Oryctolagus cuniculus: one gene and its partners. The protein of the gene in region 5 purifies or fractionates together with the protein of the main gene of each other region. This does not show direct contact. Links are inferred from orthologs where the notes say so. Each region holds a gene or a part of one and is shown on either strand. Other genes may lie near its edges.

Region 1 (4,129 bases), on a different chromosome or scaffold from region 5:
AGAACCAAGATTCTGGAGCAAAGAAACTCCTTTCCTCTGTTCCTCTATTGTCCAGGTAATTGTACCTACAGGATGAATAGTACTCTCTCACTCTTTGCTTCTCAGAGAAAGACAATAAGCGCTCAGAGAGCAAAGGACTGTGGCACAGCAGCTTAAGTGGCCACCTGAGATGCCATCTTCCCATGTGAGTGCTGGTTGGAGTCCGGCTGCTCCAATTCCGATCTAGCGCCCTAACATATCTGGGAAAGCAGCAGAAGCTGCCCCAAGTGGTTAGGCCTCTGCCACCGACATGAAAGACTCAGATGGAATTCCAGGCTCCTGGCTTCAGTCCGGCCCAGCTCCAGCCATTGCAGCCACTTGGAGAGTGAACCAGTGGATGCTAGACCTTTCTCTGCCTTTCAAAAAAAAACTGTGTTTAGACATCTGTGACTGGTAATTATTTACTTGGTTCATTAAAGTCCAAAGGGGGGGGGGGGGGGGGCAGGCAGAGATAAATCCAGTGAACTCATTTTACATCCAAAATGCTCCTATTTTTAAAATAAATTTAGACTTCAAGGACAAATTAAAATCATTAATTTTATCTTTACCAATACTCACTCTGGAGACATTCTGATGAGGAGAATCACAAAGGTTCTCACGAGTACTTTCATTCCTATAATTATGTTTTCTTGGGCTCTTAGGCCGTGTCCGACTTGGCATATCACTATCTGAGGGTCCAGATGCATCCATCTTCAAGAAATGTAAAAAAAAATTTTAAAGTCACATATAATACTGAAAACTAGAAATAATCCAAGTGTCCAAACACTGACAAAAATCTCATCATTCACCATCAAAAACCACATCCTTTAATGCAACCGTTGACTTCATCAGAAAAGTCCTTAAGGACACAGAAAGGTTTCAACAATTCTAACTTATACTTGAAAGCTCGCATTTATATTGGAAACAGTTCTTGGAGTAACATGTCCACATTCTTCATTTTCAATAAAATGCCTGCCACATTCTCAAGCCTGAATAAAATTTGTCAGATGTTCCTTCAAGCAAAAAAAGTATTTCATGAAAAAAGCAACTAGTTTCATTCTCAACTCAACAACTATACAAGTACTTTTCTTCAAGAAAAAAGCGCACATTAGTAAAAGTTATCTTGAAGGCCGGCACCGCGGCTCACTAGGCTAATCCTCCGCCTGCGGCGCCGGCACACCAGGTTCTAGTCCTGGTCGGGGTGCCGGATTCTGTCCCGGTTGTCCCTCTTCCAGGCCAGCTCTCTGCTGTGGCCCGGGAGTGCGGTGGAGGATGGCCCAAGTGCTTGGGCCCTGCACCCCATAGGAGACCAAGAGAAGCACCTGGCTACTGGCTTCGGTCAGTGCGGTGCGCCGACCGCTGCGGCCATTGGAGGGTGCACCAACAGAAAAGGAAGACCTTTCTCTCTGTCTCTCTCTCTCACTGTCCACTCTGCCTGTCAAAAAAAAAGTACTACTTGTTTCATCACAAAATATAAAAAGACCTGTCTGTACTCAAGTCAAGATTTCTTAATACTTTACTGCTTCACTAGGAACTTGCTAAGTGTAACTAGCATATTTTTACTATTCCTAGTATAGAAGATTATAATGACTACTAGTACTTTTTGGCATCACTGCCTTGATTCATACTGAAGTGTCAAAAGTTTACCCACCAACTGCTTTTGTACCATAGTATGACTGTCAACACAGTGAAAAAGGTAAATAATGCCTTAGTATTACCACAAAATAGTTTTGAACTCAAGACTCCCTGAAAGATTCTCAGTGATCTCCTGGAGGTCCACAGACCACACTCCAAATGTTGTTATAATATTGCAGTATTACTCAAGAGTCAAAAAGCTTTCAATAAAGTTATGCCCATTAACAGAAAAATAGCTTAATAAGTAAGTTTATGTTCCCACAGTGGAATAGTATGATGCCATTAGAAAGAACAGATTAGAGCTATGCCAGCTGACTTGTCAGGACATATAACAGGTATATCGTGCAGTGAAAAAGGGTCTATACTACACTTACACAGCGAATGTGTAAGTATATACATCTATGTGCATACAGAATTTTAAAACATAATTTATAAAAGGGAATATACATCGGCCAGCACCGCAGCTCAATAGGCTAATCCTCCGCCTTGCGGCGCCAGTACACCAGATTCTAGTCCTGGTCGGGGCGCCGGATTCTGTCCTGGTTGCCCCTCTTCCAGGCCAGCTCTCTGCTGTGGCCCAGGAGTACAGTGGAGGATGGCCCAAGTCCTTGGGCCCTGCACCTCATGGGAGACCAGGATAAGTACCCGGCTCCTGCCATCGGATCAGCGCGGTGCGCTGGCCGCAGCGGCCATTGGAGGGTGAATCAATGGCAAAGGAAGACCTTTCTCTCTGTCTCTCTCTCTCTCACTGTCCACTCTGCCTGTGAAGAAAAAAAAAAAGGAATATACATACTAAATGTCTAACTTTGAGAGGGCTGATTCACAAGTAGAGGTTCATAGCAAAAAAGATAAAAGAAAAAGATAAAACATAAAAGATTAAAATCATAGGCATGGGGTTAGAATTTGCTCTAACAGTTAAGATGCTACTTGGGACACAGACATTCATATTGGTTGGATTACCTGAGTTCAAGTTCCAGCTATGCTCCCAAGCAGCTGGGTCCCTGTTGCTCACGTGGGAAACCTGGACTGAGTTCCCAGTTTCAGCCCCCTACAGTGGCCAGTTACAGGCACAAGGGGAGTGAACCAGAGGATCGCTGTCTTTTTCCATTTCTCCTCTGTGTGTCTCTAATCTCTCAAATAAATAAGTCATTTTTTTAACTACAAGGATAATATATACCAATAAAAATCAAATTTTTAAAGAAAAAAAAGTCAAAGGCTGCCTTTTATACTCACATGTGCATCTGAAGATCCAGATGAGTGAACATCTGATGATCTGGTCTGAAAGTATTAAAGTAATATTAATGTTAGCGGGGTATATCTAAGGCATAATTACCTTTTTACGGTATAGAATGGAAATTCAGTATTTTTATAAATTTTTGTGCAAAAGCTTTTCCCAAGTCATGAAACACAGTTTACTGTCAGGACACTGCTGGAGGAGAAATTTCTTGGGAGACAACAAGAACAAAAAAATGCCCTCCCTTTTTCCAACCATCCAAAGCCACAATTAAGAAGCAGACTCTAGGGGCCAGTATTGTGCACAGTGGGTTTAGCCACCGACTGCAGGGCCAGCATCCAATAGGCAATTTTATTGCCTAACATTTAAGCACTCCACAATGTAGCCTGAATGTACAATTCTCCACTTCTGATTCAGCTGTTAATGCAGCTGGGAAAGTAGTGGAAGTTGGTTCAAGTGCTTGGGTTCCCTGCCACCCATATGGGAGTACAGGAAGAGAAGCTCCTGGCTCCTAGCTTTGGCCTGGCCTAGCCTCAGCAGTTGTGGCCAACTGGAGAGTGAACCAGCAGATGGAAGATTTCACTGTCTCTCTCTGCAACTATTTCAAATATATAAATGAATCTTCAGAAATAAAATAAAAATCAAAGCAGTCAGTTCAAAGCTAGCACTTTTGTCAGCTTTGCAAATAACATGATTTGATGAATTTACAAATAGGGCAATAACGTCATAGCTTGGAATCAGCTGATTTCAATCAACCTAAGATGTCATTAGTCACAGTCATCACAAACCATTTTCCATTGATAGGTGGCTACAACTACACAGCATTCAGAAAGGAACTCTGTTAGGTTTAAGAACAATTAAAGAGATGCAAATAGCAGGTATTAAGACCTACAAGTAACAACCAACTTCTACAGCTAGTTGTCACGTAAACAGCAAATGTCCACACTATAGAAGCTGGGCCTCTCTTTTAAAGGTTTATTTATTTATTTATTTGAAAGGCAGAGTTACAGAAAGAGAAATCTTCCTCCCACTTGTTCGTTCCCCAAATGGCTTCAACAGCCATGCTGGGTCTTCCACATCAGTGCAGGGCCCAAGGACTTGGGCCATCTTTCACAGCTTTCCCAGGCACATTAGCAGGGAGCTGCATCAGAAGTGGAGCAGCTGGGACTCAAGCTGGCACCCATATGGGATGCTACCACTGTAGGCAATGTCTTTACCCACTATGCCACAGTGCCAGCCCCA
Region 2 (3,993 bases), on a different chromosome or scaffold from region 5:
GCCTAGACATGGAGACCAGCATTCCTGCCTCTGAGCCGCTCATCTGGCTCCAACCGTGTAACAAGATGTCTTGAAGACCTGAGGGATCATCTTCCACATTTCCACAGCCTGCTTTCCCCAGGATGTATGAGTAGTTTTACCCAAGGTAACTGTTTTAAGTATTTGGTAGTTACATAGTTACTTCCAAGGAAACTGGTTCCTAAATATTGCCTTACCTATCCTTTCATTTGATCAGGCATGTAAGTCCCACTTAAACAGTGTTCTGAGTTTGCTCAGTGGTTCTCAACCTAAAGAGCTTTCCCTCCAAGGCACATGAGAACACACCTGTAGGCATTTGGCGTCATCAGAACTTGGGCTAGGGGGCAGGGGTGCTACTGGCATCTGCTGAGTGGAGGTCTGGGACACCACTCAACACTGTGCCATGTACAGGGCAGTTCCCAACAAAATTCTGGCCCAAAATGTCAAGGATGCCAAAGTTAAGAAAACCCAGCCCAGTTGTAATTTTGCCTCTTTTGCTTGGAGGGATTAAGAGCTGCTAGGAACCAAAGAGCCAAACAACTGAACCTATTTGGCTACATCTTTTTCTCAGTTTATTTTATAAAGAAAAAGTTTCCTTGGATTTCAGCATTAGGTTCTCTTGTTTGGAAAACAACCCCCAAAGAGCTCAGCTCAACCACAACAGAGTGTAGTATGACAGCAATAGAGTCAACTAAGATTACAAATTGGTCTACTAAGACTTTAGATATAACAACTTTTTATTCATCTGGTGGGTACTTGATGCTCACAGGGCACCGTACAACAAATTTAAAAAATACAATATGAAAAAAAATCAAACAGCCAGAGATTAATTCCATAAGAGGGCAATGGCCCACAGAAAAAAAGACAACAAAAGCCCACAGAAAACCCACCCTCTGTCCCCTTAAGAACATTAATATCTTCCTGCTTAAGTTTGGCTTAAGCAAACACCAAAACAAAGTGCAAAAGAAAGTCTTTGAGAAGATAGCTAAACTTCACGTAGCATCTTTCAAGTAATTATTTCACAAAATGCTTTCCTTATACAATACTAAGCACATAAAATAATCCAAACATCTGTGAGCCTCTATTTGGTCCCAATTTTTAGTTCAGAGCCTTCAGCATTTCCCTCTTCTTATCCTCACATGATTTGCTTCAGTGAAGTCACATAAAGGTATCACAGTCTGCTTTGTTCCACACTGCCACAACAAAGCATGTTTTCCATAAACTGCAAGGAGCCAAGCAACCTGACAATGTGTTTTAAGTAGTTAAAAGAAAATATAACTGATTTTTCTCAAAAATGACTTAATATCTAATTTTGGATTTAAAATAATTACAATAATTATGTCAGTATTTAATGTCATTTGACATCAACTATACAGAATAAGATGATTTAAAGTTGCATGGAGGGAACCACTACAAAATCTCCAAGAATACAAAGATGGTTTCAGAATTTCTGCTTAAATTAGTTGAAAATTTGTTAGGAAACTCAACTAATGCTCAATTATTAATTTTGCAAAAGTAAGCCAATTATAAGCTATTTCTCATCCAAAACTTCTAAAAGCTCTGTGTTAACAGGAGGCACAAACCTATGGTAGCAGAGTAATCACACACTAAAAGTGCTTGCACAATCTCTTTTCTCCTTAGAATTCACAGAAGGACTAAGAGAGACACAAAACAAAACAGCTTGGGTAGTAAAAGGTCTAAAACTAAGAAATCTGGGCTATATAATTAAGTTGAAAATATACTTAACACAATTGCCAAAAAAAAAAACCCAGTAAGTACTGCTTCAATGCTTGGTTCCTCTAAAATTAAATGGCAATTTAATTTATGCTGTACATTTAGGTAGATCAATTTATCATTTAATTACTAAATACAAATGAGGCAAACCCAGACATTTTAGCTGCTGCCACTCCATAACATGGTATACAGAGAACCTGTAATGAGATGTGACTACTCTTTTCAATTACACTTTACCAGGACTTGAGGGCAAAGGGCAGGTCACAGGTATCTTTACAGCCTCTAGAGTTAAAGCACAGTGGCAGGAATATGGAAGGGGCTCAAAAGTTATTACTGAATACATTGTGGCTGCTTGTGACATGGGAAAAAAGCCAAGATTGTCTTACTCTATTAGCATTACTTAGTTACTAGCCTCACTCCCAATACACAAAGCAATTCTCAAGTAAAGATCACACCCTCCCCACTTTCTAAACAGAGCTCTCAAGAACTGGACATTACCCAAGTCACTTCCTTTAACCATGCTTGAAAAGCATTTTGCAAAATCAAGAGATGAAAGGTGCTATGTAAGTACAAAATATTACTTGAGACAGTTCAGCAAAGGTGCTATTTTTCTAAAGTGATGGAATGGTTTTGAGTTTGGGGGGATCATCCCCAAAGCTACTCTTCTTGCTGTCATCACCAACAGAACAACAGAATCTTGACAAAGATGCCATCACTTTATTTAATTTGTATTCTGCTAATTTCTATAAACCAGGTGACAGTAAGCCATTTATTCTGCACAAACCAATGCTTTTATCAAAGTTCTGCATTTTACAAGTCATGTTCAAAAAACACACACAAATTAGCTTTTGTACACAAATGTTTATTTCTCAATTAAACATTCCCTTTAAACACAAGGAATGAATTCTAAATCTTCATAAAGATGAATTAAAAATGAAATCCCTCCAGTATAGTACGCGTAATTACTGTGTTCTTGGTCACTACTGGCATTTACTGTTTAACATCAAAAACAAAGACAGGTTATTTAAAAATCATGCTACTGGATTTCTAGCTCTTCTTCTATGACCAGTTCTATACTGATCTGCAATGTTTAAAAGTTTATATCACCAAATTGAAGCAAGTTTAAGGTGTGAAACAGTTGTGCATTAAACACAAAATAAACAATTATAAGATATAGTCAAGTTCATAACGAATGTAAGTGTTCTTATCATCATTGTAGATTCTTGGGTAATGTGCTATGAGAGCATCTTGTGAACCAATGTAGATGGAGTTGTAAATTTTCCAATACACATCTCTGACTTTCCGGGCTGGGTGAAACAGACCCTAGAACAATGGAAAGGTGGCATGTCAGAATTTTCAAGAACATATGTAAACTTAACACAATTAATAAATCATAAAAGCTGTGATTCAAAACATTTCCTTTGGGGGTGGCAAGAGCCTGCAATTAAAATTACAATGGGCAGGGCTGGTGCTGTGGCGCAGCAAGTGCTGGCATCCCATATTGGCACTGGTTTGAGTTCTGGCTGCTCTACTTCTGATCCAGCTCTCTACTATGGCCTGGGAAAGCAGGAGAAGATGGCCCACATCCTTTGGCCCCTGCACCCGCGTGGGAGACTCAGAGGAAGCTCTTGGCCCCTAGCTTCAGAACGGTGTAGCTCTGGCTTTTGTGGTCATCTGGGGAGTGAACCAGCAGATGGAAGACCTCTCTCTCTGCCTAACTGCCCTTCAAATGAACAATCTTTAAAAAAAAAAAAAAAAATTACAGTAGGTAGACTTGCCATTATACACATCCCATATTGGTTCTAGTCCCTGCTATTCCACTTCCAGTCCGGCTTCCTGCTAACAGGCCTGAGAAAGCAGCAGAAAATGGCCCAAGTGCTTGGGCCCTTAGACCCATGTGGCAGACCAGAAGCAGCTCATGGTTACTGGCTTCTTCCCGATTCAGCCCCAGCTGTTGCAGCCAGCTTAGGAGTGAACCAGTGGCAGGAAGACCTCTCTCTCTCCCTTTTTTTTTCCCCTAAAAGATTTTATTTATTTATTTATTTGAGAGGCAGAGTTACAGAGAGAGACAGAGAAAGGCCTTCCATTTACTGGTTCACTCTCAAATGGTCACAACAGCCAAGGCTGGGCTAATCCAAAGCCAGGAGCCAGGAGCTTCTTCTGGGTCTTCCATGCGGGTAACAGGAGCCCAAATATTTGGGCCATCTTCTACTTTCCCAGGCAATAGCAAAGAGCTGGATA
Region 3 (4,064 bases), on a different chromosome or scaffold from region 5:
CCAGCAGACGCTCTGGGCTCCTGGCTTCAGCCTGACCCAGCCCTAGCTGTTGTGGTCAGTTGGGAAGTGAACCAGCGAATGAAGATCTCGCTCTCTTTCAAATAAATAAAAAATAAATCTTAAAAATATATATACATACGTATATGACAAAGGACTGGTATCCAGGATATACAGAATTGTAACAACCCAGTAATAAAAAGAAACCATCAAAATAAACAACAGATTCAAACATAACATCACAACAGATGTGCAAATAGCTAATAAGCATTAGTCATTAGAAAAATACAAACTAAAACTTAAGGAAACACTACCATATACCCACTAAAATCCATAAAATTAAGCAGATTGACAACAACAAATGCTGGTGAGGAAGTGGAGCAATTGGAAGTCTAACATATTGCTATTAGAAGTTTAAAATGGTACAAGCACTTTGAAAAATGGTAGGGCATTTCTTATGAAGTTAAACATATCCTTACCCTATGTAGAATTCTGCATGTCTGCTCCTAAGTATACCCTATGTAGGATTCTGCATGTCTACTCCTAAGTATTTACCCAAGAAAAATCAAAGCTATGTATACAGAGATTTGCATAAGGATGTTCAAAACAGCTTTAAACAAAACATATCATTTTAAAACATACAATTGGACTACTATCCTACAATTAAATTTTTTTTTTTAAATACTGGGGGTGGGCGGCACTCAGCAGGTTAACCCTTTACTTGGGACAGCTTCCTATATTCCGTAACAGAGTGCAGGTTGTTGTACCAGCTGCTCTACTTCTGATCCAGCTCTCTGCTAATGCACCTAGGAAAACAACCCAAGATGGCCAGAGTGTTTGGGGCCCCTGTCACCCACGTGTGAGACCCAGACAGAATCCCTGGCTCCTGGTTTCAGTTGGCCCAGCCTGGGCTGTTGTGGCACTTAGAAAGCGAATCAGCAGTTGGGAGGCACTTCTCTGTGTTGCTCTGCCTTGTTTTAAATAAACAAATCTTTAAAGTAACAAAAAGCAAAACTAAATGTTGATGAATCTCAGGAGCATGCTAAGAAATCTTAAGCAAACATAAAAAAGACATATAGTCTTTTTTTATTCCAAAGAATAAATTCTACTGCAGGCAAAACTACAGTGGAAGAAACACATTGCTTTGGTGGATGTGGAGCTAAAAGTTGACTTGAGATAGCTTAAGGGAACTTCTTGAGGTTTTGGTATTTTACCATGGCAGGGGTTTGGGTTACACTAGTGTATAATTTTTCCACTCTCAGGAAATACACACTGAACTTCACTTAAGAAAGTGAAGTTTGTCTCCCTGGTTTTGGCTAGGGTGACAGGATAAGGATGATAATGCCACCAACTGAGATGCAGAAATAAATACAATGAGCATACACAAACTAATTAGTCAAACCATTTTCTTGAGGCAAGACACAAGAGGGTTTGTATCTACCTAGTACCTAAGACACAGAACGGGATTCAGCACACTCGTTAAAAATTACAGGGAAATTCTGCTAGAACATGTGCTATTTTCAAATGAGACAAACTGAATCTTCAGTGACAAAAAAAAAAAAAAAAAAAAAAAAAAAAAATTCATTAAGATTCAAACGAGCAGGTATGGAGAAATATAAAAATACACTGAGTTCTGAGACTGTTATACAAAGTTATAATTCAAATAAGAATGAACATTCACATTAAATGTCTTCTCTACAAACTCCACCCATAAAGTATAACTGTATTTCAAACATACTAGATGTTAACCACTTATCTGTCTTCAGCACTAAACAAAAAGTTCCAAGGCAGGGATTCTTGCCTTTAAGAAAATTCTATTATCGGCACACAGTAACTGTAACAGGTGCCCCATAACTGGTCAGCACTGCCAGTCTCGACTTGGGAGGAAAGAAACTCGTCAAATACTTCCAACCGCTAGCTTAGTACCAGAAACCACCGCTGGGCTGCAGGCTCAGCCTCCATGTAAAGCACCAAAATCTAACCTATCTGCAAGCAGTTTGGAACTAATTACAAACATCAATAAACAATCCTTTAGTAGGCTCAACTAAGCAACACAATCGCAGAAAGGAAACCGGAGGAATTACCAGCTATGTGTAACCAGCCACAATCAAAAAGTATTGGCTTTTGCCTCATAGTGGGAGATTTTTCTGATCAAAAGTCTAGGGAGCATCGAGAGAGACCAAAAACTTTAAAATCACAACTTGCAAACTAGTTCCTCTCTGATCTAAAACATGCTGCAAGTAGGCTTCCTTATTTCCATGATAAACTCCGTCTTCAGACCCACGGGAGCTCCATGCGCACAATGAGAATGGGTAACTAACGCGAGACCAAGCCACCTTCAAGGCCCCCAAGGCAGCAGGTGACAAGACGCAGCTCGGTCTTCAAGCCCGCCTCTTGGAAGACAGGCGAGGCTGAAGAACGATCGATCACGACCCGGAGCCGCGGCCAAGATGGGGCGCGCGCGGCGGGCGCCGCAGGCCGTTAGCAGGCCGCGCGCACGCGGCTTTCCCGCCTCCGGCCTCGGGACCGCTCAGCTTCCCGAGCCCGGCCCGAACCCTTACGGCTCAGCCCCCGCCTCGCTCGGCCACCTCCTCACCTCACGAGCTTCATCGTAGCGGCGCAATCGTCCTTTCTGCTCGATAACGCAGAGAATGCAACTACCGAGGACCGGCTAGGCGTATGAATGGCCGGAAACGCCTACTCCACGGGCTCCGGACGTAGCGAGCGCGCGGAGCACTGTGGACGTGCGGCGGAAACGCCGAGGCCTTGCTGGGCCACTTTGCCTTCCGGCCAAGGGGAGCGCGACTGCGACCCCTCGCTGCCGGAGGTATGCATTGCAGAGGCTGAGGGCGTGACTGTCTGTCTAAGGAGAGGGCGATTTGAACAGTTAAATCCAATTAGCAGTCGCCATCACGCTTCGGCACGGCGGGGCGCGTTGGCGAAGCACCAAATACAACTTCCTCCGTGAACAAAGAGCGGTTTTGAGAGAAACACAGGTTATTGCGAATTCTGGTCCAACACCAAGAACCTTATTTAGCATTACTGATGAATCTGAAGAAAATTGCAGAATTATGTTTCCGAGACACAGTTGTCTGTTTTCCTCGTACTCAACGTCTCAGTAACATTCAACACACTTCAGTTTTGAAATACCTTCTACCTTTGTTTCCCGGGCCAAGCACTCTGGGTTTCTCCCTAACCCACTAGCTGTTCTGTCTAGGCCTCTGAGTCTTTACACGTGTCAGGATGCTTCAGGGCTTACAGCTGTAGTCCTTTTTAGGAAAACTTTCTCCTTTAGCCTGGGCGATCTCCTCCAAAACTATGGTTTTAATTTGTAAATCTAGATTGAACTTCATCCATGATCACCAGAACTCTAGGATGTTGTAAGGCAATGCTCATCAAACTTTAATGTGCACAGGACAGACCCAAGGAATTTTTTAAATAAAGATTTATTTATTTTGAAAATCAGAGTTAACAGAGAAAGAGGGAGAGTCAGAGATCTTCCAACCATACGTTTTTCCCCAAGTGGCTGCAGCAGCCAAGGCAGAGCCAGGCTGAAGCCAGGAGCCCAGAGCTTCCTCCAGGTCTCCTACAAGGGTGCAGAGGCCCAAGCACTTAGGCCCTCTTCCGCTGCTTTCCCAGGTGCCTTAGCAGGGAGCTGGATCAGAAGTGGAGCAAGCCGGGACTTGAACTGGCACCCATGTGGGATGCTGGTGTTGTAGAGGCGGCTTTACCCGCTATGTCGCACCACCAGCCCCATTGAGGAAATTTGAAGATGAAAATTCTGGTTCAGTTGTTGTAGGGCCTGAAATTCTGCATTTCCAGAAGCCTTCAGTTGAAGATTTCCCTAGTCCATGGATCACAACTTGAGTAGCAAAGCTATGAGGCATATTTGTGAGCAGTCCTCACAACCTCTTCTACTCCCCTTTCTTCTCGAGAGTTCTCAGTATTCTTCTGGAGACGCACGTGGTCCTCAGGAAGCTGACTCTACCCTTTATGTCAATGATCAGGTTCCTTTACTTGTCCACATTAGGACTGATCCGACCAGACCTTTGCATAGAATGTTCTTC
Region 4 (4,711 bases), on a different chromosome or scaffold from region 5:
CTGTTGCAGCTATTTGCAGAGTGAGCCGGCAGATGGAAGACCTTTTTCTCTGTCTGTAACTCTACCCCTCAAATAAACAAAACCTTTAAAAAAAATCTCCAGCTGTTCCACTTCCAATCCAGCTTCTTGTTAATGAGCCTGGGAAAGCAGTGGATGAAGGCTCAAGTACCTGGGTCTCTGCCATCCAAGTGGGAGATCTGGATGGAGTTCTTAGCTCTTGGCTTCATCATGATCCAGCCCTGGCTGTTATGATCATTTCAAGAATGAACCAGTGAATGGAAGATCTCTGTCACTCCACTTTTCAGACATAAGTGGCCAGCATTGTGGTATAGCAGATTAAGCCTCTATTTGCAATGCTGGAATCTTGTATCTTGGAGCATCAGTTCAGGTCCCACCTGCTCCACTTCTAATCCAGCACCCTGCTAAATGTGCCTCAGAAGGCAGTGCAAGACAGCCCCAGTGCTTGGGCCCCTGCCACCCACATGGGAGACCTAGATGGAGTTCCTGGCTCCTGGCCTAGCGTGAACCAGCAAATGGAAGATCTCTTCTCCCTGCCACCTCCCTACCCCCATCGCTCTTTCAAACAAATAAAAAATAAATCTTTTAAAAAAATAAATATTTCAAATGTACTTAAGAAATAAGAATTTTTAAACACACAAAAAACCTCACTGACCATAATGATAAACAGTAAGCAACCAGCAAAATGCAAGAAATTAAGAAATTCCTTAGGACATCTTACTGTTCCTTATAAACACACACCCAATTGTGTGTGGGAACAACCACCTCTGAGCAACCCTACTTTCGGACAGAGATTAACAAAAAGTATTCTCCAATATGTGGCTGTCATTCTTCAAGCAGGCACAGCTCATTCATTTACACCTTCACTCAGAAAACACTTCCTGAACACTTGCCTTGCACCAGGTCTTGTATACTTGGGGAGAGAATCGAATAGGACACATCCAGGCCTCAAAAAGCAAGTTGGGACTCAGATGAAACCACTCTCCAATTCACACTTCCTGCCTCCAGTTCAAGCACGGCCTTTCCTCCCCAGCCCCATCCGCCCCACCACGACCCAAGAATCCACATCTCAGATTAGACCATATCTCAGTTCTAACCTGAGATTCAAATATTTCTCTCCACAACCCCTCCCAAGTCATCTCTCTCCAGTCTCCCCCAGACTCTAGATACTATTTCACCAGGGCTGCCACCCAAACACGGAATGTACCAATCCCAGAGCAGCCTGGCAAGCCAAGCCACTGGCGCGGAGGACGATGGAGCCAGATGTGAATGCACTTGAGACATTTCACTTGCAGGCTCTGTTCCACAGCCAACTGTAGAAATCTGTCAGCAGATTTGACCGTAGCACAGGAATCCTGCTACTACTTGATTTTTTCACGGGTCTCTCCCTCACAAGTCAACTCCTCTCCATTCAAACAGCCTAGTTCCCTCAGCACAAGGGAGGGGACTTGCACTGCCTTCATCTGTCACGTGGTGCTGCACCTCTAATACTTAGATCACAGCTACGTCCCGCGTACCCGCCGAGATGCATTCCACAAACATCTGCCAAGCAACCTACTACTTCACGCTGGTTACTCTCCTGTGCTCCAGGAAGAGCAGGACCTGTTCCCCTCCCCTCCCCCAGTGCTGTCTGGAGAGGTAAGAGGTGCCTAGCACTGGCTGAAAGGCTACTGTGTTCCCGACTGTTCCAAATGTCCCAAATGTGGCAGCTCACTTAATCCCCACAGAAACATGAGGAATCTAAGGCTTGGAGAAATGGAGAAACCTGCCAGCATCACTCCCAAGGATGTGACACTGGCAAAAGTCAAAGCAAGCCGACAACAAGTGGATGACAGGCACCGTGGGCCCACAGGGGGGTGCTACCAACGCTCACAGGCTGAACAGGCGAAGATTTGGCCGCCAAGGGCTTCTGAACCAGGTCAGGAGGATGCCAAGCGGGTCGAGGATACCGCAAGGAGGCACAGAGGTAATAAAAGACACGAGATAAGCCGTGCTCAGAAACTGATCGATCCAGGGCACTCGACACGAAACGCACTCAAATCTCATTTCTGTCTTGCTCCCTTTCTACTGCTCTCCGGCTCTCAGATGGCACGATCCACTACGACACTACCCGCAGCAGTCTGTCCTATCTGGCTTCAAGCCATGCCAAGGCGGAGAGACGGGAAGCTAAGAGAGAGACAGGCCTTGGCATCTGTCGGGAGAGCGCGCACAGGCTGTGCCTGGCTGACGGATAAACCGACGGATGCAGGAGAAACGGGCGCCGAGAACTCGGTATGCAAGCTGCTTCCCCTCTCTGCAAGAAGTCAGCGAAGAAACAAAGTTGTGGCTGCACCAAGTTCTTTAGTTTTGGGGTGCCAGAGACAGCCGCGAGCTGAGGGGGGGTAGCGTCCCGGAAGATCACCTCTCCTGGATGTCCCACCCCTCCTGCCACCCAGTGGGGACCTCGGGGAAAGGGGGCCGGGGCGGCGCGGCCTCGACTCAACAAATGTTCGCTAAGGGCCTAACAAGTGCCTGACGGTGAGCTCGGAGCCGAGCCGCCGGTCCTTGGGGCGCTCCCGTCACCCCTGGCGGGGAACAGCGCTGAGGCGCCGAGGGTCGTCGGCCCTGGCGCTGCGCGGCCCGGCCCACCCCACGCAGACCCCGCAGGGCATCCTCGTCCGCTCCCCGGCCCCCGCGCGCGCGCGTGCGCACAAGCTGCCGGAGGGGGCGGAGGGCAGCGGACGGCGGGAAAAGAGACTCACCTCGGTATTTCTCCACACGCCGCCCTTGATCATAATTCGAGGCATCTTGGCGACAGGTGGTCTCGGCAAGCGGCCGAGAGGAGCTTCAGAAAAGTAGTAACGGCGCTCCGGTCACGGGACCCAAAGCCGCCACTTCCTCCAAGCGCGACCTTCTGCTTTGAAGAGATCTGCGCAGGCGCAAGGAGGTGGCGGGGGGGGCGGTGGCAGAATAGCAAGTCTCGCGATATCTCGGGAGGCTGAAAGGTTAGAAGTGCTTTCTCAAAGCTCTAGTGTACAGACTGACAGAAAACCATCAAACTGCTGTGGCCGTAGCGCCGTGCGCCGCGCGCATGTCCAAGTCAGGCTGGAGGAAGCCATGGCTCTCGCGAGACATCCGCAGCGGCGGCCGGCCCGGCGTCGCGGTGGGGTTGGTCATCGTGACGTCACTCGGCGGTGGGGGTGCAGACGGGTTGTGTGTGGCCTTGCAGAGTAGCCGGTCCGGAGAAAGCGTCGCGAACTAGCGCTTTATTGAGCGTTTCGCTAGTCGAGTACGCAGGAGGAAGAGAACAGCTTATCTGCGGCTCAGTTTCCCAACCTGTAATACAGAGTAGTAATAATAGCCCCCACCCAGTGGGGTTCTGCTAAGAAGTGAGGTCCTCAGCGGAGTGCAGGGTCTGACAGACGACTGTTCCCAAAAAGCGCCGCTGCGATTCCAAGGAGGGCAGCGCCTCCACCTGCCCCCGGGGAGGGGCGCAGCGGCTGTCCCGGAAGCCCCCACCGATGTCCCCTCAGCGTCTTTCATCCATCGCCATTCAGTCTGTGTGAATTAATAACAAAGACCATTATGGGCGCTGGTATTAAGGGAGCCGGACTCGAGTTGGGCCGGAATCTTGGCTGTCTCGTCAGCGTGGGTAATACCCGTGCTGAATCTCAGAGTGCTCGTCTGAAAAGTGGAGCCAGCAACACCGGCTTCAGCAATCGGAGGGGCAGGATTAGCTGTGACAAACCAAAACCTAACCTTGGATAAGGGTTGTCCAGCTCTCCGCCACCCCACTTCCGAGTTACTCAGACATCTTTCCCATTTCAGAACATCGCTTTGACGCCAGTCCTAGGAAATATGAAAATATTTAGTTAATGGATGAGGAAAGTCCTGGGTCTTTATATAGTGCCTTGCTCTTTAGGTTTTTTCATTTCTCCATTTGCGTCTTCTGGAAAAACTACAGAATGTTCTGATAATTTTTTTATCTTGAAATGGGAACTTTTTAGGTGTTTTTAATAATGCTGATGTCATTTGTTGGCATAAAAATTATTCAGATACAACAGGATATTTTTAAGATTTTTTTTAAATTTATTTTTTGAGAGGTAGCTTTACAGACAGAGAGGGCAAGAGAGGTCTTCCATCCACTGGTTCACTCCCCAAATGGCTGCAATGGTGGGAGCTGGGCCGATCAGAAAGCAGGAGCCAGGAGCTTCTTCCGGGTCTTCCACGCGGGTGCAGGGACCCATCTTCTATTGCTTTCCCAGGCCATAGCAGAGAGCTGGACTGGAAGAGGAGCAGCAGGGACAAGAACCAGAGCCCATATGTGATGCTGGCACCACAGGCAGAGGCTTAGCCTACTATGCCACAGCACCAGCCCCACAATGTAGTGTCTTTAGAATGACTATACTTTATATTCTGTGTATTTAGTCAAATATTTTTCTCATAACTCCCAATGTGTACTTGATCTCCCTATGTGTTCAGCAACTAATGACAGCACTGCTGTTTTCCAAGCCCTTTCTTGCAAACAGTATTCAGATCTAACAGAACACGTCCAGGAACCATGTAGGGAAGGCCAGTGTGGGCCGCCCTGCTGTGCTGTGATCTTTGTGGGTTTGCTCAACCCAGTGACCTGAACAAATTCCACTCCTGGCAGTTCAGGTCTTGGATTGCAGCGAGTGACTTGCAACATCACTGGGCCAGGCAGAGGACGGAT
Region 5 (4,129 bases):
GCAGAAACATAGGTGGGACTGAAGGTCTTTGTGTTAAGAGAAATAAGCCAAGCACAAAAGACAATTAGGAGACCTCACACATCATCTAAAGATCAAGTCAGTCTCAAAGAAGCTGAGCGCAGAATGAGGGCTGCCAGGGACTGGGATGGTGGCAGTGAAGGAGGGCTGGGGAGAAGCTGATGGACAACACCACACTGGGCCAGCCGGTAAATCACAGCCTGCGGCACTGGCATCCCATATGGGCACCGGTTCCCGGATGCGCCATTTCTATTTTTTAAAGATTTATTTATTTATTTGAAAGAGTTACAGAGAGAGAGAGAGAAGGAGAGGCAGAGAGAGAGAGAGAGAGACAGAGAGAGAGATCTCTTCCATACTCTGGTTCACTCCTCAAATGGCTACAATGGCTGGACCTGAGCCAATCCAAAGCCAGGAGCCAGGAGCTTCTTCCGGGTCTCCTACACGGGTGCAGGGGCCCAAGGTCTTGCGTCATCTTTCACTGCTTTCCCAGGCCACAGCAGAAAGCTGGATCCAAAGTGCAGCAGGCAGGATACGAACTGGCACCCATATGGGATGCCGGCACTACAGATGGCGGCTTTACCTGGTATGCCACGGCGCTGGGTCCCAGGGTGCTCCATTTCTGATCCAGCTTGCTGCTGATGCATCTGGGAAAGCAGCAGAAGACAGCCCAAGTGCTTGGGCCCTTGCACATATGTGGCAGACCAGGATGAAGCTCCTGGCTTTGACCTGGCCCAGCCCTGGCTGTTATGGCCATTTGAGGAGTAAACCAGAAGATAGAAGACCTCTCTCTCTCCCTCCCTTTCAAATAAACAAATATTTAAAAACAAAAACAAAAAAACCCCAAGTACTATGTTATAGTTACACAGTACAAAAAGTCAGGTATTCTATTACTGCATCAGGGTGGCTGTAGATAATACTACTAATGCACTATCTTTTTCTTAGGTTGAGAGGACAAATTTTTTGGATGTTTTCACCATAAAGAAATAATAGATGTTTGAGTATATCGAAGTGTTTGCTCTGATTTGAGCATTATACAATGTATATGTATATAAAAACATTACACAGCACCCCAGAAATATGTACAATTTTTTGTATCAGTTAAAATTTTTAAAGTATTTAAAAGAAAATATATCAAATGTAACATCTCTTGATTAGTGTAACTGTCATTCCATTCTAAATTATTTCTTTGAATTAATCAAGTGCTGTGAAATAAATTTTAAAAAATACCCCTATGATACTACCAATTTAATATGACATTTTAATAAATAATAGAATGAATTAAAAAACATCCTTCCCATACCTTAGGTACGTCAGCGATCTGAGGGAGGCCAAGGGGTCCAGGTCACCCTGTGGGGTGGAGAGCAAAGGTAAGGACAGCACGCATGCTCCCAGTGTTCTGCCGTGGGCAGGGCAGGCAGAGCGAGCAGCCGCATCGTCTTTCAGACTGCTACTGCACTAGTCCTGACCCAAAACCAGGACGTCACAGGCACTTCAGTAACTCCTACAGAATACGCCGAGTACATCTGAGCTTCTTCCTTTAAATCCAGCATCAACAGCTCTGTCTCCACGGCAGAAGAGGCCATGAAAGGTGATTTCCTACAGCAAACTCCAATGACTCAGGAGAGAAACCGCCAAAGGTGAGGTAACCCTGAGCAAGAGATTCGCACAGGGTAGTACAGCCATCTGTCTTCTAGCGCCTCCAGACGCCTGGGACCCACACAGGCCTATCACTGTGGAGGAGCGCCTTTCACCTCCGCAGTACCCCCTGCCCCCACCAAGCTCTTCAAAGAATTTCCAAGGACACGAAGCTGTACAGCTGGGGAAACAGGACCAAATTATGGGCAGAAGGCAGGGCAGTTTTTAGATCTTCCCAAACTGTCTCATAACGCAGTACCGTAAGGACAGCAAAACAAAAACCCCTATGGTCCATACCTACAAGCAACCCAGATGACAGATAGTTCTCCAAGAACCCTAACACAGGAGTGAGGGGCAGCAGCACCGCGAGCTACAAGGCCTGCGTGGCGACCACATTTGCGCAGGAAGCAGCAGAGAAGGTGAGGAGGGGGCGGCCGTGAACTTGATCGCTCCAGGACAGCCCACAGGCACTCAGCTTCACAGCAGCAGCTGCAAGACCCGCGGCCCCGTGAGCACAGGGTCTGGACCAGCCAGATGCTGGGTCCCTGCGAGACCTGCGCGGCGCGTGAGCACAGGGTCTGGACCAGCCAGATGCTGGGTCCCTGCGAGACCTGCGCGGCGCGTGAGCACAGGGTCTGGACCAGCCAGATGCTGGGTCCCTGCGAGACCTGCGCGGCGCGTGAGCACAGGGTCTGGACCAGCCAGATGCTGGGTGCCTGCAGGACAGCGCTCTCCTGAGGAGAAACTGCAGGAGGAGATCCGAGCCGAGCAAACCGGGCACGAGAGAATGAGGAACAAGGTACGGATGCAAGAGGGAGGGGAACAGAGCAGATTTCAGAGCGCAGCCTGGCAGGAAGCACGTCACAGACACCATCAGACAGCTCTCCAGCTCGGACTGGCAACCCACTGAAACAGACCCAGGAAGCAATGACGTAAGAGTGGCAACTTTCATGTCTCTCTCTAACACACACACACATCATATGAAACAGAATGACTAGGGACTGATGGGCTAAAAACACACACAAGTAGGCCAGCACTGTGGACAGCGGGTAAAGCCGCTGCCTGCAGTGCAGGCATCCCATATGGGCGCTGCATTCTCACTGCGGGGTCACGTACTCTAGAGAGAATGTCCAGGATGTGATGGGCCCGCCACGCACCAGCAAAGGCACACACAGTCCATTCCACTCCAGGAGACAGGCAAGGGAGGCAAAGGCAGGATAACCGCAAATCAAGTTAGACAACATGGACTCAGACATCCAGTGTTCAAGTGGGAAATTTAGGTTACAACGAGAACATATATGGTATCAGTTCAATTATGTAAAAGTGAAGCACACGGAGTAAGTTTTGAAAACATAAAACAGGCGGAAATCACCATGTCCGCATTCTCTCTCTCCTGCTCTCTTGGTTTCCACGTCCTTGAGGCCCGGTGTGCAGGCCACGTTCCAGCACACCTCCACGCAGAGGCCACCTGGTCAGCGCCACCACACTGGGACTACAGTTCCAGAAAATGATACAGGCTCCTCTACAACCCAGGGAGGGTAAGAGAAGCCTCCCTGGACATCAAAAGCACTAGCAATACAGAAAAAAGGTCATAAATTGGCCTACACTTGCTTTAGGCACGTCTGTCAGGGCGCCCTAACAGAATCAAAGGGAAGCCAGGGCGAGGAAAGACCCCTGCAACACTGACACCCAGAAAGGCCCAGGCACTGAATTAATTAAGCAAAGGAGGATAAGGAGAAATATTCTAGACTTCGCAAATGTTCTCTAAGAAGTATGCAGCCCTTAAACCCCTCCCCAAGATACAACTTACCAGTTCCATAAGGCTGTTGTTGGTGAGAATGAGTTCTGTGAGACAGGGCAGAGCCTGATCAAGCCCCTCACCTATACGGCTAAACAGACAGACACACTCTTAGTAAAGTGAACAACTCTACACACACCCCTGATCACAGGGTCTGACTGCAGAAGCTCCGAGACCCCTCTTGCCCTACCCCAGCTACCACTGTGGGAGAGGCGACCGAAGAGGGGACAATTCAGGCAGCTCCCTGGACTCTGCCTGGGACCCTTTCTGCTGCCACACCGGCTAGCGGAACCTGAGAAAAGGTGAGACCCCCGGGTAGGGCCTCAGCTCACTTCACTACTTCTGTGAGCAGGTGGCACAGAAACCCAAGTGCTTCTGCATTCACAGTGCAGGTACAAGACATACAACCACCCCACCAGGAAATGGCTAACCCAATAGCAGGAGGCTGGACTGGAAGTGGAGCAGGACTTGAATTCAGGCATCCTGATACGGGGTGTGTGTGTCCCAAGCAGTGCCTTAACCCGGTGCCAAGCACCCCACCACTAGTACTCTTACTGACATTCTCTACAAGTAGCCAATAAATTTTTTCCAATAAAATTTACACAGAGCTTAAGGGCTAAAACGATCCCAATTTCAGCAAATCTTCTAGAAACCAGTTTAACTGAAGAAAAGTAAAGC
Region 6 (4,129 bases), on a different chromosome or scaffold from region 5:
CAGGATGATGTCGCGAATTTCGGACTGCGTCAGCGATGCCACGTTCACACTGTGGGGACAGCGTGCGTTAACAAGGATCCCTGCTTCAACGGCAAGAGTGTCAACTGGGCACAACACGGAGGTGCCTGTTTTCATCCCAGACTCCTCAAGTGCCCCTTCGAGAGGAGGCCTGAGATGGAGATGCACTCCTCCTTCTATGTCACATCCCAAGTAGAACTGCGCCCTGCAAGTGTACCTTTCAGCACTCAGCACCCAGAACCCCACTTTTCCTCAGCACCCCTGAAACACTGGTTCTTCCCCAGAGGTGGTAATACCAGTCACCCTCGGGAACACTGGAGATCTACAGACATTTTTGATACGTCACAATGACAAGGAGAGGTGGGACAGGTATGTGCTATCAGTGATGGTACTCAAGGTCTGGAAGTTAGAATCTCCTGTAGTTTATTACAATAAAGATGAGCCCTCCTCAGAATGGCAGGATTTCCTCCACTGAGAAACAATGGCCAACAGGATGACTTAGGGTCGGAAGCAAAGTTACAGAACTTAATTATTCTCCCATCTTTAATTCTGACTTGTGCTGGGATTGTCACTCCTCTTTACTCAGTTTCCCATATGTAAAAGAGGGAGATTACACTTATAATCCAAAAGATTCCAAGGCTGGAAAGTGGAATTGTAAATAAGAACATTAGATAAACCCTGAGAAAAATTGTTTCTTAATTCTAATTATTCCAGTTCGTCTAGTCTCTGTTCTACAAAACATACCAGTTTCTGCTTCACAACAGGGGAGTTAATATACCACATCTTTCAATCCTATGGAAACTATTAAGAAGGAACACCAGGGGCCGGTAAAGCTACTGCCTGCAGTGCTGGCATCCCATATGGGCGCCAGTTTGAGTCCCAGCTCCCTGCTATGGCCTGGGAAAGCAATATTAGATGGCCCAAGTCCTTGGGCCCCTGCACCTGCATGGGAGACCCGCAAGAAGCTCCTGGCTTTGGATCGGCCCACTTCTGGTCTTTGTAGCCATCTGGGGAGTGAACCAATGAATGGAAGACCTTTCTCTCTGCCTCTCCTTCTCTCTCTGTGTAACTTGGACTTTGAAATAAATAAATAAATCTTAAAAAAAAAAGTTAACTGACTGCTACATCAGATAATTTCTTTTCTTTCCAATACCAGTCAGAAAGGAGTCATGAATATACTATAAAGTGATCCATATATTTTTTAAAAGATTTATTTGAAAAGCAAAGTCACAGAGAGACAGAGAAGAGAGAGAGAGATCTTCCATCCACTAGTTCACTCCCCAAATGGCCACAACAGCCATAGCTGGGCTGATCTGAAGCCAGGAGCCAGGAGTTCCTTCCAGGTCCCCCATGCAGGTGCAGGGGCCCGAGGACTTGGGCCATCTTCCACTGCTTTCCCAGAGAGCAGAGAGCTGGAGTGGAAGCAGAGCAGCCAGGACTTGAACCAGCACATATGGGAGGCCAGTGCTACAGACAGCAGCTTTACCCACTATATCACACCACTAGCCCCAATCCATTTTTTTTAGCACGGCACATGCAATTTGTAGCAAGAACCAAAAAATGTATTTATTACTCTTTGAGCCACAAATTATACTGCTGGGAAGTGAATAAGCGGAGATTTAGTATATTGTGAAAAAGAAAGGGGTTGGGGCAGGCATCTGGTGCCACAGTTAAGGTGCTGCCTGGGAGGTGTGCATTCCATACTGAAATGCCTGAGTTTGAGTCCATGCTCCACTTGCAATTCTGGTTCCTGCTAATGTGCACTCTGGGAGACCAGGGTGATTACTCAAGTAGTTGGTCCCTGCTATCCATGGGGGAGACCTGATTGAGCTTCTGGCTTCAGCCTGGCCCAGCCCAGGCTGTTGAGGGTATTTGGGTGGGGAGTTAACCAGCAAGTGGATGATATGTGTATGTGTGTGTGTGTGAGTGTGTGTGTGTGCCTCTCTTTCTGTAACTTGGACTTTCAAAAAAAAATTGCAATCATCAAAAAAAAAAAAAAAAAAAAAAAAAAAGCAAAAACCATGTGGTTATACACTGTTAAAAAGAATTCAAAAGCGGCATGAATACCTGGTTTACATGATGTGGTGTTTGAGTGCAAAGCTTTTCTGGGTAGTCTTTGAAATAGTAAAAATGTTGCTAGGATCAACTCATCATCAACATTTGCTCTCATTTTTGTTATGGCCTGTAAAGGTGACTTGAATTGTCATTGCCTATGTGCTTCTTTCTGATGTCCCAAAGGAAATTTTTTCTCTGATAAACATTATGAATTTGCTAATTCCATAACTGAATTGAAATCATAAAAGATCCAGTTACTCCAAAAACACAACACAACAGCCACAATCAGAGCGAAGCCCTGAGACATGCAGACTTCCTGTACTATTTGAAGACACTGCTTGCTTCTCCTCTGTGAGTATCTCTAAGACAATTTCTTGAGAAACTTATGAGCCAAGTGTTCCAAAGCCACAGAACCCCAATACTGAGCCCCCCACTTCAGCTTTGTGGACACCCATTGGCCTCCCCATCACAATGGCTCACTTGTTCTTCTTGCCGTAGTCAGCCAGGATGAGATCCTTGAGCTGCACCTCCACCTTGATCCACTCCTCATCAGTCAGAGTGGGCCAGATGTGGTGCGGCTCTGTAATTGTAGTCTTATCTGGCTTCAGGATCACCTTCGCCCGGTCATTGTTCACATGCAGAGCACGCAGAATCAGGATGAGACGGGAGAAAGCCTGGGAAGAAATTCAGAAGAGTGTTTGCGAGTGGGCGGGGACGGCGGAGGTCCGCTAACTGAGGTTCTCCCCTTTTCTCAATGTCTCCATCCTGTGCTTGCAGGAAACCCAAGAACTGACTTCAAACTCTAAAGTTCCAAGCCCTCGTAAGGCAGCAGAGTTCCTGCTCCATCCACAGACTGAAACTATGAGAATGGCCCAAATCAGCGGCCTGTGAGGAAACTATCAGGCAGAGAATACTTTCCTGACCACAAACCCACTCGCAACGTGGCCGTCTTCCTACCGTGTAAGATGAGATAGTCTTGAGCCAGTCATCATAGAGGTTGAAGAGAACCATCTGCGGCTCAGTGGCTTTAAGGATGAGATCCCCAAACTTCTCCACCTTGAGACAAGCCTGGAAGGGGAGCTGCAGCTCTGATCCTTTGATCACAATATTGGGGAAGTCCAGCAAGTGCACCTACGACCAGATCAAGACAAGATCAGAAACGATCTTCAGCCTCAGGCCTGCCTTTGTCTACCCTGTCCACCCTTTTACCTCCAACGGGTCCAGCATGCCTTTCCTGGTGACAATGATCTGCTTGGGCTGCTCCTCCACAGGCAGAGATCGGATCAGGGCAGCCACTTCCTCAGCAGTCTTCCACTTAGCCAACTGAAAACCAAGAGAAAGGCAGTGGAAATTGAGTCTGCAGCCTCCCGATCAACTAGAACAGAAAGCCCTACTCTTGAAATCAAGTATGTCTGGACGTTAATGTTGAATGCTAAGCTCTTAGAAGATAAACTGTCAAAAGGCCTTGTCCAAAGGGGGTTTTCAAGCTATACAAGATACTACTCAAAACCAGTATATGATCATGCTAAGCAATATGACACAGTTCAGGAATGAAAGAAGTTAAGGCTACTAGAGTCATAAAAAGCTGTACAAAGAAATGAGTCTTAATGCGTAAGAATGACAAACAGGGCTAGTGTTCTGGCCTAACAGCATAAGCCATTGCCTACAATGCCAGCTTCCCATATGGGCATGGTTCAAGTCCCAGCTGCTCCATTTCCAATCCAGCTTCCTGCTAATGAGTTTTGGAAACCGCGGGGAAGATGGCAGCATCTTTGGGCCCCTGCACCCACGTGGGAGACCTGGATGTAGCTTTTGGCTTCTGCCTGGCCCAGGCCCTGGCTGTTGTGGTCATATAAGAGAACCAACAGATAAAGATCTCTTTCTCTCTTCCCTTCTCTCTCTGTAACTCTGACTTTCAAATAAAATAAATCTTTGGGAAAAAAAAAAAAAGACAAAAATACTGATATACAGAGGAAGTCCATTCTACAAAGTGAGGAAACTGTGAGTAAAGCCACAAAGTCAGATGAACATCAGGTTCTGGATATTAGTATCCTGG
Region 7 (4,842 bases), on a different chromosome or scaffold from region 5:
AAGATGGAATAAACAACCCCTAGGTAACCGAAAAGGGGGCTAGTTAGTTAAATCCAAAGTGGTAGGTACAGCCTCACACTCAGACTAACAGCTAGCATGCACATAAGAAACAAATACGAACTTTGGATACATCATCTTACTCCACTTCACCTCCCAGGGAAAGAGCCATTTTCTTGATTCCAAATATTTATAGCTCCCATCAACTATCTTCTTAGTTTACTTCTTCAATTTCCTTCCTGATAGTATTTACCACATGCTTTGCAGCTCCTCCAAGGCTCACTAGCTCCTGTTACATGTTATGTCTTTAACTCAATGCTCTATTTAAACACATCAGCGTCTTTTATTTCTACTGTCTCCATAATTTCTCTAGATTCCTTGTTCTGAACTTAAAAAATCTTCTCGCTCCATATCTCACTTTTATTAAAGCCCAACTGCTGGCTTTCCCTATCCAATCTCCTGTACTGAACTTCTGTTTTCTCTCGCAAGCCCTTCTCATGTGCTAACAACCCCACACCTCTCACCACATTCCATTCTCTCAACTTATCTAAACCCCAGCACGACTGAAGAACCCACAAGTCCCAGTTTTTCCAGTTAACAGTTCTTGGCTATACATACTCTGATTCTTTCTCCTGCAATACAAGGGTACTTCCAAATGTTCACAAAAAATAAAATTAAAACTTAGGGACATATTTTTGACACCTGCATCCCGTATGGGAATGCCTAGTTCCAGTCTCAGCAATTCCTGTTTCCAGTTCCAGCTCCCTGCTAATGCGCACCCTGGAGCCAGCAGGTGATGGCTCAAGCACTTGGGTCCCTGAAACCCATCCGGGAGGCTTGGATTTAGTTTCATGCCCATGGCTTTGGCCTGGCCCTGCCCCAGCTGTTGCTGTCCTTTGGGGAACAAACCAGCAAATGCAACATCTGTCTGTCAGGAAGCTCTGTCTCTCAAGTAGTTTTTTGAAAACTTTTGCGCAAAACAATTGAAATCCATGCAAGTTTTTCATCATCTATGTTTTCCATGAACTTCTGCAGACCTCTCAAACACAAAGCTTCCCCAACCCATTCTCTCCAAGATAGTGGGAAAACTAACCTCAGGAAAAACCCTAGAAAAAGGCAACATGGAGAAGTTAATCAACGCGGAGGGAAATGAGAGGCACTGCATGGAAGGCTGCATTTAGAAAACTCTGAAATAAAGAAGCAGAACACAAATGCCTACAGAAACCCAAGACGCTGTATGGGAAGGAAGCCCAGCAGCCTGCACACCGCGCAGCCACAGACCAGGTCCCTTCCCAAAGGCAGCAGTCCTACGAACCGAAAGCAAAAAAAGATGACAAAACCAGAGTCAACGGATGACACGAGGCTCAATCTATGAAAGGCAAGGAGACACGCAGAACAGAACAGTGATCTACTTCTCTGCAGCCCAAGAAAGCAACCCTCGCGTTCACCTTCCAGCACCAATTCGCCCCACTCTAAAAGCCCCTCTTTGCACCTGCACAGCCCACTGAATTTTTGCTTCCCTTGCAGAATGCTTCTGACCTGCAACTAATTCCTCAGCCTCAGAAAAGCACCCACACTTCTCTGCCACCTCACACAAAAACCCTCCCACTCCCTAAGGAGGGAAAACCAGTAGCTGCTAAGCCAAAGATACTGTCACATTGTTCGAAAGATGTAGAGAATCAACAATAAAAAAAGAAAAAGAAAGAAAGAAAGAAAACCTCCACGGCATCCAAAGCAGAGCTATAGACACTTCAGTGAGGAGGAACCATGTCAACGCAAACCACTAAAACCGATAAAATAATTATTCTTAAAATGAGGTCCACAGAGGGCTTACAAAGTTACTTTGCCAAGGAAGACTAAGAGAACTACCTGTGCTGGACAGTGATCAGAACGCCAAAACAATGAGATCAGAGAGTATCGCACAATATTCAGACATTCAGTTAAAAAATGGACCGAACTGCGGGAGGCGGCAGAGAAGCAGAAGCAGAAGCAGCTCCACGCCGGCGCACTGCAGTGCCTGGGGACACGCGAGGGAACCCAGAAAGCTCGGCAGCCGACGGAGCCCATCGTCCGAAGAGCGAAGCCGACAGAACCGACAGCTGGGATGTGCGAGCCGCAATCACAGCGAGAGCAGGCGGACACGGAGGCCGCCCAGAGTCGTGTGCCACGGGGGGGCCTGAAACGCGCAGCCGCAACTCCAAACAGTCCGGCATTTTCCTCCCAACCACGGGCTCCAAAAGCAGCCTCCGTAGTTTTAACGCAACTTCTGGGGAAATGTGGAAAAGCCACAAGGGAAAAAAACAAACCAACCCACCACGTTGTCTACCTTACTCACGTAGACTCAATTTTTTTCCTTCTCCCTTTCCTTTCCACGCTCTGCGGCTTTTTTCTCCCCTACCGACCGCAGGGCTGATACTAGCGAGTCCAAACGCTCTAAATCCGGGCCACCGAGGTCAAGGCCCTCCCCGCGCCGCCGGGGCCAGGAAGGCCTATTTTCGGCCCGGAGGGATGGGGGAGGGGGCTGCGCGGCGCCCCGCAGTCTGGAAGGCTCCACACCGGTCCACCGGGCCCCGGGCGCGACCGGAACGAGCCACAGGGGACACGGTCCGAGAGCGGGCTCCCGTCGCCGCCGCCGAAAGGGGCAGCCGCAGCCAAGAGGCCGGCTCGGCCGCCCATGTGGGGGGAGCCGAGGAGCCGAGCGGCGCGCGCTCCCCGGTCGCCGAGGACGCGCGCGAACCCGAGCGCGGGCGGCGGCGCGCGCCGTTGCTATGGGGGAGGGGCGGGGAGAGGCGCGCCGGAGCCCGCGCGCGACGGGCACCGCGCGAGGGGGAGGGGAGCCCAGCGAGCCAGGGCGTCCGCGCGAGCTGAGGGCGGCGAGCGCGCGCGCGCGTGCGCGTGCGGCGGCCGGGGCCGTTCTCCGCGCGCCGCGGCCTCGCGCCGCGGCCGCCGCCCCTCCCCCACCCGGCTCGCGCGCTCCCTCGCCCTCTCACCCGCCGCCGCCGCCGCCTCCGCCCGCCGCCTCCGAGGGGGAGAGGTCTTGCCGCTGCCCGAGCGCCCGAGTCCCTCGGGGCCTGGAGCCGCCGCCTCGCCGCGCCTCGCCGGTCCGCCCGCCTCACCCGACGCCGACGCCTCCTCGCTTCCTCAGGGGCCGCAGCGGGCTCCGACTGCGCCACTCGCACCCCGCCTGGGCCGCGCTGCACGTCAGCACGACCGACCAAGTGCGTCAGCACGCCGCCGCGCCGCAGGGCCCGCTGGGAACCGTAGTACGCTCTGCGACCTTGTGCGCAGGCGCCGGGCTCGCTTCGGGAAGTAGAGTTTCTAGAGGCGTAAGAGAGAGTCAGTTTCATTGCCGGGAGACTACGAGTCCCGTCGGCCAACGCGAGTAAGGGGTGGGAGCAGGACCGAAATGACAGTCTCCGAGGCTCACCGCCCGGGCGGGGGCGGGGCACAAGGCCTGGCGACGTCTTAGCGCCTCTCGGCCTCCCGCCTTCGGCCAGAGCTTTCTGGAAGTTGTAGTTCAGGCATGCGGCGGGACCCGTATGTAGCTTCGTCCAGGGGCGCGGTCGCCATTTTGTTTCCTCAGGTTGGGAGCCGAGCGCGGGAGCCTTGTGAGGGTTGCTGCCTCCAGGTGACCGTAGCCTCCCGGGCGAGCCCGCGGCCCCACAGCACGTAGCCTTTCGTGCTCAGACCCCAGATATCGGGTACGCCTGGCGCCCCCGAGCCCGACACAAGGTCCAGGCCGGGAAGCAAAGGCCGAACACCCACCGCGTTGGGTTCTGGCGGCCCTCACCCGCCGTGAGCAGCTGCGGCGTTTGAGGTGCCCTGAGGAAGAGTTTTCTGGAACCAGAGGGCACCAGCCAGGAAGGCGGTTGTTTGATACAGAACCCAGATGTATCATACCTCGTGGAAACGCCCTTAATCATTCACTGTGCCATTGCCGGGTCCTTTTTACAGGTCCATCTTTGCGGCCGTCGTGGCGTGGCGGGTAACCCGTGCCGGCGGCTCCACTTTCCATCAGCCCCTGCCGGTGGGCCTGGGAAAGCAGCCGCGGCGGGTGCGCCCCTGCACCCACGCTGGAGACCCAGATGAGGCTCCTGGCTCCGGCCTGGGCCGCGGGCAGTGACCCAGCAGACGGAAAGCTGGCGTTCTCTCTAACTGCCTTTCAAGTAAAAAAAAAAAAAAAAAAAAAAAAGTCCATTTTTCTGAGCCCGAGAATCGGCAAGCCCCCTCAGAGCAGAGCTGTAAGGCTGGGCTTTTCGGGCTCGGGTTTACCTCTGGCCGGGCCAAGGGACAGTGACCTTGGACTGGTCATCTCCGGAAGCCCAGCCGCTAATGGCATGAAGCGCCATTACGCATCTGCCGCCCCTCTGTGTGTGAGGAATTTTCTTGAAAAAAAGATTTGAGTTCCAGAGGAAGAGTCGGAGGTCTTCCATCCCCTAATCCCCAAGTGACCGCAATGGCCAGGCCAAAGCACGGAGCCAGGAACTCCCTCTGGGTCTCCAACGTGAGCGGCCGGGGCTGAGTGCTTGGGCCACTTTCTGTTGCTTTTCCAGGCACATCAGCAGGGAGCTGGATGGGACGCAGAGCAGTGCGACTGGAACTGGTTCTCTGGGATGATGGCAGTGCGGCCAGCAGCTCAACGCCTGCGCCACATGCCAGCTCGGAATTTTGAATTTTTAACTTAGCCCGCAAGGGAAATCAGCGCTAGGACCACACAGGGAGAGTCCGGGCTTGCTGATGTGAGCCCTAGCGCCGCACGCCAGCGCCCTGGAGCACCACTTGAACTCCTCCACAACTCCGGAACACAGCAGAGGGGCAAGGCCTTGGTCTCGCTAGGCCTGAAGT

Evidence for each region.
Region 1: the proteins of SNRPA1 (region 5) and U2SURP purify together in Homo sapiens (affinity purification with mass spectrometry; 5 studies listed by BioGRID and IntAct, with this or other methods). This does not show direct contact. The link is inferred for Oryctolagus cuniculus from reciprocal best matches to the Homo sapiens genes SNRPA1 and U2SURP.
Region 2: the proteins of SNRPA1 (region 5) and SF3B1 purify together in Homo sapiens (affinity purification with mass spectrometry; 8 studies listed by BioGRID and IntAct, counting the BioPlex papers as one, with this or other methods). This does not show direct contact. The link is inferred for Oryctolagus cuniculus from reciprocal best matches to the Homo sapiens genes SNRPA1 and SF3B1.
Region 3: the proteins of SNRPA1 (region 5) and SNRPD1 purify together in Homo sapiens (affinity purification with mass spectrometry; 4 studies listed by BioGRID and IntAct, counting the BioPlex papers as one, with this or other methods). This does not show direct contact. The link is inferred for Oryctolagus cuniculus from reciprocal best matches to the Homo sapiens genes SNRPA1 and SNRPD1.
Region 4: the proteins of SNRPA1 (region 5) and CDC5L purify together in Homo sapiens (affinity purification with mass spectrometry; 5 studies listed by BioGRID and IntAct, counting the BioPlex papers as one, with this or other methods). This does not show direct contact. The link is inferred for Oryctolagus cuniculus from reciprocal best matches to the Homo sapiens genes SNRPA1 and CDC5L.
Region 6: the proteins of SNRPA1 (region 5) and PRPF8 fractionate together in Homo sapiens (co-fractionation; 3 studies listed by BioGRID, with this or other methods). This does not show direct contact. The link is inferred for Oryctolagus cuniculus from reciprocal best matches to the Homo sapiens genes SNRPA1 and PRPF8.
Region 7: the proteins of SNRPA1 (region 5) and SRRM2 fractionate together in Homo sapiens (co-fractionation; 3 studies listed by BioGRID, with this or other methods). This does not show direct contact. The link is inferred for Oryctolagus cuniculus from reciprocal best matches to the Homo sapiens genes SNRPA1 and SRRM2.

The regions. Positions count from the first base shown.
Region 1 is NC_091435.1:138,826,128-138,830,256, forward strand, and holds part of U2SURP (U2 snRNP-associated SURP motif-containing protein), read right to left. Parts: intron 2,932-4,129; coding exon 2,887-2,931; intron 730-2,886; coding exon 598-729; intron 1-597.
Region 2 is NC_091434.1:42,863,566-42,867,558, reverse strand, and holds the end of SF3B1 (splicing factor 3B subunit 1), read right to left. Parts: intron 3,076-3,993; coding exon 2,917-3,075; 3' UTR 738-2,916; downstream 1-737. UniProt on the Homo sapiens protein: Component of the 17S U2 SnRNP complex of the spliceosome, a large ribonucleoprotein complex that removes introns from transcribed pre-mRNAs.
Region 3 is NC_091441.1:56,034,661-56,038,724, forward strand, and holds the start of SNRPD1 (small nuclear ribonucleoprotein Sm D1), read right to left. Parts: upstream 2,801-4,064; 5' UTR 2,608-2,800; coding exon 2,594-2,607; intron 2,508-2,593; exon of another isoform or gene 2,334-2,507; intron 1-2,333. UniProt on the Homo sapiens protein: Plays a role in pre-mRNA splicing as a core component of the spliceosomal U1, U2, U4 and U5 small nuclear ribonucleoproteins (snRNPs), the building blocks of the spliceosome.
Region 4 is NC_091436.1:125,737,494-125,742,204, forward strand, and holds the start of CDC5L (cell division cycle 5-like protein), read right to left. Parts: upstream 3,143-4,711; 5' UTR 2,805-3,142; coding exon 2,760-2,804; intron 1-2,759.
Region 5 is NC_091443.1:10,486,465-10,490,593, forward strand, and holds part of SNRPA1 (U2 small nuclear ribonucleoprotein A'), read right to left. Parts: intron 3,543-4,129; coding exon 3,464-3,542; intron 1,366-3,463; coding exon 1,319-1,365; intron 1-1,318. UniProt on the Homo sapiens protein: Involved in pre-mRNA splicing as component of the spliceosome. Associated with sn-RNP U2, where it contributes to the binding of stem loop IV of U2 snRNA.
Region 6 is NC_091448.1:47,180,087-47,184,215, forward strand, and holds part of PRPF8 (pre-mRNA-processing-splicing factor 8), read right to left. Parts: intron 3,397-4,129; coding exon 3,283-3,396; intron 3,205-3,282; coding exon 3,031-3,204; intron 2,748-3,030; coding exon 2,554-2,747; intron 50-2,553; coding exon 1-49. UniProt on the Homo sapiens protein: Plays a role in pre-mRNA splicing as core component of precatalytic, catalytic and postcatalytic spliceosomal complexes, both of the predominant U2-type spliceosome and the minor U12-type spliceosome.
Region 7 is NC_091450.1:32,566,248-32,571,089, forward strand, and holds the start of SRRM2 (serine/arginine repetitive matrix protein 2), read right to left. Parts: upstream 3,206-4,842; 5' UTR 2,988-3,205; intron 2,732-2,987; exon of another isoform or gene 2,324-2,731; intron 1-2,323. UniProt on the Homo sapiens protein: Required for pre-mRNA splicing as component of the spliceosome. As a component of the minor spliceosome, involved in the splicing of U12-type introns in pre-mRNAs.